Linked DNA regions of Drosophila melanogaster. The protein of the gene in region 1 interacts with the protein of each later gene in a pairwise test. Each region holds a gene or a part of one and is shown on either strand. Other genes may lie near its edges.

Evidence for each region.
Region 2: the proteins of FucTB (region 1) and Or45a interact in a two-hybrid assay, tested with the Drosophila melanogaster proteins (one large-scale study listed by BioGRID).

Annotation. Positions count from the first base shown.
Region 1 is NT_033779.5:9,428,052-9,433,179, reverse strand, and holds FucTB (alpha1,3-fucosyltransferase B), read left to right. Parts: upstream 1-2,127; 5' UTR 2,128-2,249; coding exon 2,250-2,483; intron 2,484-2,750; coding exon 2,751-3,157; intron 3,158-3,179; exon of another isoform or gene 3,180-3,590; coding exon 3,591-3,768; intron 3,769-3,834; coding exon 3,835-4,350; 3' UTR 4,351-4,511; downstream 4,512-5,128. Other genes in the region: scat (scattered), read right to left, coding at 1-899, 1,279-1,466; CG42847 (uncharacterized protein), read right to left, coding at 4,678-4,730, 4,785-5,128.
Region 2 is NT_033778.4:9,343,817-9,349,667, forward strand, and holds Or45a (odorant receptor 45a), read left to right. Parts: upstream 1-1,532; 5' UTR 1,533-1,605; coding exon 1,606-2,688; intron 2,689-2,742; coding exon 2,743-2,796; 3' UTR 2,797-5,047; downstream 5,048-5,851. UniProt on the Drosophila melanogaster protein: Odorant receptor which mediates acceptance or avoidance behavior, depending on its substrates. The odorant receptor repertoire encodes a large collection of odor stimuli that vary widely in identity, intensity, and duration.

The DNA.
Region 1 (5,128 bases):
GCATCGGTTGCGTCTTGTGTACGGTGGCCATCAGTCGGAGTTTGTCTAGTGTGAGGTTATAGTGCTGTCTTCTTTGGGCGAAACGCAGCACTTTGAAGCTGTCTACAACCGAGTGGCTGTGGAGTTCGGCCAGTGCTGCCCGCAACTGACGTACTTGGTCGGCCGCCTGCTCCATCTCAGCCAGAATAGCGTGCTGCGTGGTCATGGCGTGAAAGAACGCAGCCGATTTCTGCGATACCTGTTGCGCTATTTTAACTTCCACCATGTCCAGGTAGTGACTCAGCTGTTCCTGCAGCTGACGACCAGTTTGCTGATGACTTTCCGGACTGGAAGCCGATGTTTGCATGTAATTAGGAAATACCTGCTTAAAGGTTGCCGGATGATGAAGCTGCAGTTGTGATTTCAGAAAGATCTCGGGCACAGAACTCAAGTGTGTTGGTGTCTGACCACCAGTTCCCGGTCCAGGTGCTCCTTGTGCTCCATTCTCCAGCGGTTTATCACGCTCCAGTTGTTGCTGCCGCCGCTCATGCCAACGATATCGCTTCCCTATGCTGCCCAGATACACGGTAAAATCCGCATGGGTTATATCGGGCAATCGGGGTGATGGGGGCACATGACTTCGTTCCACAAAATGCTCGCCCCACTTTTTGGTAAACAGATTACTCTGCTTTCCTCGCGAGGGATCGTTGAGCACCGCTGGCAGGTTTTGGGCCGCCGAGTAGACTCCCCATTCGGGAGGCATTTCGCGCGTGTGCTGATTGACATGGTACTTGGCGACATGGGCGTCGTAATCGCGATCTGAGACTCCGTCCAGTGGAAGCGAGGCACATACTCCATTGAAGCCATAGCGGCACACAAATGAGCCACCCTCCCGGGTACAGTGACGATTTCGCAGGTGACTGTAATGCGTAATGAGAGCATTTATTAAAACAGCTTTATAAGATCTGAGTAACTTTAATGAATCAATATTCTATTAAATTCCAATTGAATTTGCAACACATTCTATTATCTTTAAAATTACATATATAGAAGTTGTATTGTTTTCCGTATAATCACTTTTAGACAATCCCAAATATAACTTACGTACAAAACACCTCTAAACGAGGTTTGTGAGTTCGACTGCAGCTATACAATTTTAATTATTTCTACCTGTCTGTGCAATTTACCTGGCATTTATCGTTTTAACTCATACATGCATATAAAGTTAAGATAAAAATGGTATTGACTCGTAAGGCTGCTCAAAGTTCTATTATATGGGAAGATTTGGACGACACTCACTTGACGAAGTCGCTGATGCTTTTAAAGTGCTCCCGGGTGCAGTAGTAGCAGCTCTGCCAGCTGGGCGCCACTCCTCCGGCAATTCCACCGACGCTAGCCGTCGATAGCTTTCTGATACCCGAGTTCCCTGCTGCCGGTCCAGTATCAACGGACGTGGCGGCACCTCCGGCGGATCTTGTCGTGGCCATAACACATGCTCTGCGTTTAAAGTGCCGCGCCGTATGGTTTCCCCGGTGGTTCACCTGCTCCCAATCGTTGACGTGTTATGTCAATGTTTGTTTTCTACCTTCGCTCGTCTGCCTCTCTTGCCAGATGTTGCATTTTGGTTGCTCCGCAATAAGTCCACTTTCATTGGCTGTTCGTTCTCTAGCCTTGGAATGGGCACATTTCGTCCGATTTATGGGTGTTTCTGTTGCTTCTGCGGTCGCTTAATTGAGCAATTGTAAGTGGAACAATATTATGACGAAGTTCAGTGTTGTAAAACAGCGGCGGACTGGATGGCAGCTGGCGAGGGCTGGAAACGGTCAAGCGCGCGATGCCAGCAGCTCGAAATTAAAATATGAAAGTAATTAATTTTAACAGAAAATAAATATAGTATATGTTTAGTTAATATAATTAATGTAATTTGAATATCTAAAAAACAAAATATCAAATAAATAGAATTATGCTTTAAAAATTTAAGTTGAATAATAATTATATGTTTTAATTATATTAAACATTCAGGCAGAACTGTTTTATTTTTTAAATAAAAATGTTTATACATTTCCTGGCATACAATCGTATCGTGCAAATCGTGTCTCAAAAATACCAAACGTTATCCAACACTACATCTGAGCAAAATCAGCTGACGACTGACAGTCGAAATTGGGGCGCTCGAGCGAAATTGCGGCGCACCGGCTTTTTGAATCTTTTCGAAGTGGTGCAGCGAATAATTTTGATTATCTAGCTAGCAAAGAACTGCAAAGATAATCATGCGACTGGCACAACGTTACGGAATTGCACTGGTTGCGCTGCTTATGGTTGGGGCGACCGTATTGTTCTTCTGGTCGGAAAATATCATTAACTACGAAAACATCAAGTTCAACAGTCCTGTGGAGCTGGTCTGGTGGTCCAGGGATATGTCCTGGAATTACGACGTGCAGCGCCAGTGCGGAATTCATACTTGCCGCATCACCAACAAGCGGAGCCGCCGTCCGTGGGCCCGGGTTCGTTTCAAAAACCAAAAGTCTAGATTTCTTTTTGTTTCACATCCGGCAGACATGATAAGAATTGGATTGAAAATAATAATAATATAGGGCTCCAACTGTTTGAGATACTGTACCATAGTTCTGAAAAATATGTAAACACATAGCTTAGACTGAGAAATGCATAGCACTGCAGATACAAATTCGCTTACTTCAGTAAGATATGTAATTGTAGATTCATTGTAATTTGATATAATAATAACGGAATGTCTCTTACATTTTTCACAGGGCGTCCTGTTTTACGGCTCAAACATAAAGACGGGAGACTTTCCCCTGCCTCGGAACGAGCACCAAATCTGGGCCCTACTGCATGAAGAATCACCAAGGAACACCCCTTTTGTGTCCAATAAAGAGTTCCTTCGCCACTTCCATTTCACATCCACGTTTAGCCGCTACAGCAACTTGCCGCTGACTACGATGTACTTGCCCAGTGGCGAGGCGCTTACTTCGAAGGATTACTATGTTACGTTTGACGGCAAGTCAAAGTACGGATACCGTCCATCCACATCGGTGGTGTTCCTCCAAAGCGACTGCGACACGATGTCTGGAAGGGAGGACTACGTAAAGGAACTGATGAAACATCTTCCGATCGATTCCTACGGCAGCTGCCTACGGAATAGAGATCTGCCAGAGAGGCAAGTAGGCTATTCCATTTGTATCCTATTTATAATCCCAAACATTTTACACACTCATAACAAACACGCGTGACAAACACATCACGTGAAACACTATCGTTCTAAAATTCCTTTGCCATCATGACATCACCAAGTGCCAACGAGCTTCCCAAGGTCTGTTGTTCAGAGTGCTGGGTGCAGTTGTACGGCTCGCTGCCTCAAATGAGCAACGTTTCCAGAGAATGCTGCTGTCGTCAGGGAAATCATAAAGATCTAGAAGAACCTCTTTTCTGTGATGACGATTCAATAATGGAGTCTCAAAATAGTTCAAATGATTCTGACCAAGATAGCAACGGAAGATGCGGATGCCCTTCATGTCGAGCTGAAAAACACTAATATCTAATTTGCAATCGAAATCGTAAAAATTGTTCAATGCCTATTGATTTTGTTTTAGCTTGCAGAAGGATTACTTGAATAATTTATATTCACCGGAGTTGCTGCGTTTCCTGTCCGAATACAAGTTCATGATTGCCATTGAGAACGCTGCCTGTCCGGATTATATTACCGAAAAGTTTTGGCGTCCTTTGATAATGGGAGTTATTCCAATTTACTTTGGCTCACCCACCATAAAAGTAAGTCCGTATTTCAAATAATAATTTTCACAATTTTTTTTTTATTACATTCTACAAATATTGCAGGACTGGGAACCGAATAATAAATCTGCAATTTTTGTGAACGACTTTCAAAATCCTCAGGCATTGGTAGAGTATCTCAATAAGTTGGCGGATAACAAAAAGCTGTACAATTCGTACCGCCAACACAAACTAAATCGGCGTAACCCCATTTCCAACAAAAAGCTACTCCACAACCTTGTCACGCGCCAGTACCACATAGGCGATTCTTCTCCGGGAGCATCACTCTTTGAGAAGTTCGAGTGTGCAGTGTGCTACCATGTAATCAATACTGCCAGGAACGTGAAGGCCGACTTGCGTCATTACAATTGTCCCCTGGAACCGGTGTATGCTAAGATGGAGGGTCAGAAAATTCCTCAAAATGTCGCGGATTGGCGAGCCGCAATGGAGGTAGGCCAGTGCCAAGCTAAGGTACTCGATGAGTTCTTCCGTCGAGACATCGGTTTCAATGACGCAGAGTTTGATGCTGAGCTCAATCGGAGGATTGAGGGAAACAATTGCAGTAATAGTTCAAATACTTAATTCGAAAAATACGTCAATCATACAGACTTTACCATGTGATAATAAATGTATATTAAACTATTTACAATAAGCTGTCATTTCTGGTATTTACAATGTAAATGTACCTCATCCAGGACTTTATTTTCCTATTCCATTTAATTGAAAACTGTTGTACACAATATAAGTACGTTAGCTTAATAAATATTTAAATACTTAAATTTCCATTGATTCTTCTAAAAATATATGTCTGCATGTACCCATTTCATCTACATCCATTGATCCATCCATCCAAATGATTCCATATGGTGGGGACTTTGATCTCAAAAGAATCTGTGACATCAGTAATCTCTACTGTACAAGATTAGTATACTGGTGCAGTTTCAATATCGTACGGCAGATGCCTAAGAATTAAAGTTTTCGTTATGATATGTTTAAATTGCATTATGATTACTTACCCGGAAATACACTATTTCTCGCAGCCTTTTCGAACTTTCGATTCGGTTTTCTTCCTAACCTAATCATCTCTCTTAAAATTAGAGCCTTATGAGAGGGCTCTGAGGACATCAACAATTTTTGTTTCTTTACTAACGGATAGAATCGTTTTTTCGTAGATGATGAAGACCATTTAAAACCATTATTTAGCTTTCTTTGAGAAATATTCCTGTGCCTTTTTATTTGACTCGGCCGTTTTCGAGGATTGCTTATTTTGGAGCCACAAGAATTAAATTTGTCCTGAACTTTGAAATGGCATCCATTTGTGGAAAGGACTGGTACTTCGACGCCACAGCTAATGCATCGA
Region 2 (5,851 bases), on another chromosome or scaffold:
GCCTGGCATGCCACTCCATTTGGAAGACGGTTTTTTTTTACGGTTCGCCACAAGCTCATAAAAAACCTCCAAAATGGGTGACACACAAAGGAGTCGCACATGCACACACACAGCCACACCTTCACTTACATGAAGGCAATGAAATAAACAAAGCCGCAAAAGACACGAAAACCTCAGTGGAGCGAGAGAGATGGGCACATGGTGTGCGAAAGAGAGGGAGAGATGTTTCAGGAGAAAGAGACAGATGGTAAGCAAATTGCTGAGGAGTCCAAAAGCCGGACCGACGTCAAAATTATCGAGCAGCAGGTGTGCTCTTCTCCGTTTTCCCCATTTTTCTTTTTTTTCTCTTTCTCACTCTCATTGTGCCTCTCTCTTTCGCACATACTGACCCTCTCTTTCGCACACAGCCACTGGCATTATTGCTTTTGTGGCTTTTCGGTAAATATTTTGCATAAAATATCAATTTGATATGCAAACGGGCGAATATGTGAAAACGTGCGACTGCAATGACTACTCAGACTCTATGAAATTTAAATAAAAATCTGCAAGTGTAAATTTAATTAATTACTGAACATGTTTTTCAAACATAACTCTTTGTATTCACAATTGGCCGGAGGCCAACATATGTACATAGCTCGCTCTAAATAACGTTGCATAACTTTTGTAGCCGCAACTTTGAACAAGTCAGCTACGAATATCCTTCGGAAAAATGCAAATGATGGTTATTAAAATTCCAGGAAAAGGTCTTTATTTGGCACACCCACTCTAGATTAATTGAGAGCAGTTAAGGTGACATTAAGCCGAACCCAAAGGCAAAGAACCCAAAATGCAAATCGGGGGGAAAAAACGCTTGGAGATAATGTGGCCTGGCAAATGGCTATTTCACTCGATTTCGTCTAGTCCCGGCGATAAATTTCGAAAGCAGATTTACTTGTTGATTTCCCACGTAATTGAATTACTCGCGAATAAAGTGCGGACCAAATGGGTCCCGACATTTTCCTCCCAGAGGGCAAACAAATTGGGAAAAAAAAGGATTTTTGGGGCCAGCCCAAAAATTAATTTCATTTTGGTGTATTTACAGGGAATTTTTACGCTAACTTTTTGGTACAAAATACACAAATTTAAAAGGAATTTAAAAGGAAAAATGCTTTGCTCTAGCCCAAATGTCAAGGCTACAGAAAAAATTATATCTATCACAACTTGTTCATAATCATAACCCTTGCGGTCTTGTATAAGAACATGCCATTGTCCAGTCAGGCATTTAAATGTTAAAGTGAAAATAAATAGATAGATAACCAAATAGAATGTAAACAAATAGGTAAACAACGTGTCGCACCACTTCCACTTGTGTTGGGTATTTATTTGTTAATACGATATTTACGCCCCCCTAAATGGAAATGGGAAAATTTCCAATCAAAACAGCACAGCCAGTGTGGTAGTGGTAACCGTGTCACGTAGCCTGTTAACGGATGAAATAAATATTTCAGGCACAATTTCAGGGGCGGCAACGGCATCCACTTAGCTTTCTTTTTTTTCTTTTTTTTTTTGCCCCCAGTGGCTGCTATAAAAGTTGGTGCAACAACGAAATCCGGTTGAAAGACCAACATGGACGCCAGCTACTTTGCCGTCCAGAGAAGAGCTCTGGAAATAGTTGGATTCGATCCCAGTACTCCGCAACTGAGTCTGAAACATCCCATCTGGGCCGGGATTCTCATCCTGTCCTTGATCTCTCACAACTGGCCCATGGTAGTCTATGCCCTGCAGGATCTCTCCGACTTGACCCGTCTGACGGACAACTTTGCGGTGTTTATGCAAGGATCACAGAGCACCTTCAAGTTCCTGGTCATGATGGCGAAACGAAGGCGCATTGGATCGTTGATTCACCGTTTGCATAAGCTAAACCAGGCGGCCAGTGCCACGCCCAATCACCTGGAGAAGATCGAGAGGGAAAACCAACTGGATAGGTATGTCGCCAGGTCCTTTAGAAATGCCGCCTACGGAGTGATTTGTGCCTCGGCCATAGCGCCCATGTTGCTTGGCCTGTGGGGATATGTGGAGACGGGTGTATTTACCCCGACCACACCCATGGAGTTCAACTTCTGGCTGGACGAGCGAAAGCCTCACTTTTATTGGCCCATCTACGTTTGGGGCGTACTGGGCGTGGCAGCTGCCGCCTGGTTGGCCATTGCAACGGACACCCTGTTCTCCTGGCTGACTCACAATGTGGTGATTCAGTTCCAACTACTGGAGCTTGTTCTCGAAGAGAAGGATCTGAATGGCGGAGACTCTCGCCTGACCGGGTTTGTTAGTCGTCATCGTATAGCTCTGGATTTGGCCAAGGAACTAAGTTCGATTTTCGGGGAGATCGTCTTTGTGAAATACATGCTCAGTTACCTGCAACTCTGCATGTTGGCCTTTCGCTTCAGCCGCAGTGGCTGGAGTGCCCAGGTGCCATTTAGAGCCACCTTCCTAGTGGCCATCATCATCCAACTGAGTTCGTATTGCTATGGAGGCGAGTATATAAAGCAGCAAAGTTTGGCCATCGCACAAGCCGTTTATGGTCAAATCAATTGGCCAGAAATGACGCCAAAGAAAAGAAGACTCTGGCAAATGGTGATCATGAGGGCGCAGCGACCGGCTAAGATTTTTGGATTCATGTTCGTTGTGGACTTGCCACTGCTGCTTTGGGTGGGTTTTTAGTAATGGATTATTAAGGCATACTTAAGATATTATATCTTGCAGGTCATCAGAACTGCGGGCTCATTTCTGGCCATGCTTAGGACTTTCGAGCGTTAGCCCATCAAATCGAAGCTTGAGAATAGTTACCTCTTAATGAACAAAAATGATTATAATTTCTTAATCAATCAATAATCTTTAATAGTCGAGTACATTTATTTGGAAATATTCATGGGCAAGCGATCCAAACATCCACAACCCAACTCCAATCAGTTGCCATTTGGACGAGCATGTTTTTGACGGGCTCAGCTGCCCCGAAGGGATCTCATGCCCCAGGTTGATGCCACTGCAGGCAGATGGAGGAGCATATGAAATTCATGAGGGCATTCCACAAAGGCAGCTAGCGAAGCCAGCTCATGCGTGTGGCCATGATGTCAGTCGTGTGTGCATATGGGTACTCGTATGTATTGTATGTATATAGATGTATACACCAGGTAGTCGGAATTTGTTAGTATGAAAGTACGAAAGTATGCAACATCAGCAGCATCGTTCAGGTGGGGAACAAGTTGCTGAAAAATAGCTACTCAAACTATGTGCACCATGCTGCTTGCCAGCCAATGGCCTCGGGCTCCTTTTTCGACTCAGCCCGGGTCTTGAGCTAGTTTCGGGGCTTCGGGATCAGGATCAGGTGGAATGCGGACCTAAGAACCCTGCCCTTATCCTTCGTGCCTTGCGGAATGTTGCCTGCTACGGAATTTCTGGCTTGATGTTGCCGAGATTCGAATTCAGTCGGAGGCTAAGTCGCTTGAACGGAATTTGTTTTATTAAATTTTACAACTCGGTATTTTGCACATGCAAAATGGACTCAGTATTTCGGACTCCGTGCACCACCGTTTTACCAAAAAGCTGTGACAAATTGTGCGGGCGTGGAAGCCAGGCACCTCGGATTATGTTACAAATTACGACAGCGCTATTGCGGGCATAATTAATTTTTGTCTCTGACATTTGATTTATTGGTCTGCGTTGGTCAGCATCTTTGGCTTGACTTCGAAAAAACAAATGAGCAGCGATTAATAAGCGCGAATCGCTCCTGGCCATTACGCACCTGCGGCACAAACAGCCAACAAAATTCGAGCATCAACCTGCCACAGCTAGCTGGGTTTGCTGGGCGGTATAACTTTACAGCAAATTGTGGCCAAGATAAGAGCGGATGGCCAAGAGCCACAAGCTGAAAATAGTGGTGAAAAAAATCACCATTTTATGTGTATTAAAAATGTGAACAAAAACGAACAGGAGCGAGCACAGATTTTGTTTGCGGTTCGTTGAGCACACAATAATTCCATCAGCATCAGTGGCAGTAGGAAAAGTGGGCGTGGCAGGCGTGTGTGGGCGGTGGGGTAGAGATAAAAGTGCTGGCAGCACTTTCGCTGCATTGCTTTTTTTGTTTTTTTGCAGTTGTTGCGGTGTATTGTGTGGGCAGTGCCACGAGGCGAATGGTTAATAATCGAACAAAAAGGTCCTTAAAGCTGTCGCGCAGTGAGCAAACGTTTATGCAAAGTAAATTGATATGCAAACTGCAAATTTCAATGGCAATTCAAACTTAAATGTCCTAATGCAGTTTTATCTTTGTAAAACAAAATGGTGGCCAGCTGGTAGTTTCCCGCAAGCATTACCCCAGGGCTTATGGTTTGCATTTAACCAACAAAAAATCTAACCTAAAGTTTTACAACAAAATTGATTTTTCAATTTCAAAATGAATTGCCTGAAATGAAGAAAACAAAAACTATCAGTATTTTAATGCGAAAATTGAAATGCCAAGCTTAAATCAAGTTCGCAATGCGGAAAAGTGGCCAAACACTTATTCAATTCACCCGAAGTGGAAATTCAAATTTTCGAACACAAATGCTAATTCAAATTAAATGGAAAAACCCAGCCGTTTTCACGGTAATTCCACCTCTTTGGCCACCGGAAAATAGGAAGCACAAAAAATGTCCCACTTTAATCGGGCTTGTGTTTGCCAAAGCTATATTTTCATCTGTATATATGTACAATATAAATGTATAACATATATTTTTCGGTTAAGCATACAAGGCGGCTGTGCAGGGCCTTGATGAAACTTTTCTAATTAAAATTGTGCGGCTTGTTGAAAGGTTTTTCCAACGGCGAGGGGCCGGCGAAGGGCGGGCGCGGAGATAGCCAGTTTTAATAGAAATTACATTAATTAATATTTAAAATATGCTTAAATACACATTCCTATGCATTAATTAATACGGGCTGGCGGCACACATACAGCGAGTAAACAATGAAACGTGACTGGAACTAACAACGAATTGCGCCATAAGCCAAACGTTGGCAGGCAGGCACTCCAACTCCAGGACTAAACGGAGATTTGACTAATTACAGCACGCCCCCTAATTTCTTGTTTATTTGGTTAAATTTAATTTCAAATGCCACAAATGCGACAATCGAGCTGAGCCATGGGGCAAACAGTAGCGGTGATTACAATGTTTTATTGACTGTTTTTACCCACATAATTGCCACAGATTTGGACATTGTCCAAATCGACTTGTTTTCCCCTCGAGACGAGACGAGTCTCCCCACTTCCGAAATCGCTTCTCCCAGTCGCTATTTTCGTCTCCTCAGCTCAGTTTGGAAACTTTGATTTACGCCACCCGTTCCTAACCCACTTTTATGGGACTTTGTGTGACCCATTTGAACATTTGGCTTGCAGCGGCTCCCTTGCGAGGATGTGGATGGGAATGTGGATGCCACATGCATGACAAGCACTTATGCAAATTATATGGCGCACTTATGTGCGGGCAGAGGATTCGACTTTATTTGTCGGAATTTCGATGGGATTTTCAGCAGCAAAATTAAAATAAAACATAAATGTATAACAAACTTTCACTAAGTGCAAGCGGGTTCAAGCGAATAATGGTCATAATTTTTTTGCGAGATAAAATATTAATACTGAACTCGACCAGAAATAGTGAATTCTAAAATGATTCCATATATGTCATATAGAAACATATTAGGCTAATTAGTTGTTAAAATTATACGTCGAATGAATCATTCAGAACCATTATTCGGTTTTTTTTTGTTCTGGACATTGATTCACACGACTATATGTTTTCCTTTTTAAATGTAATTCATACTTTTAAGCTAAACAAATAAA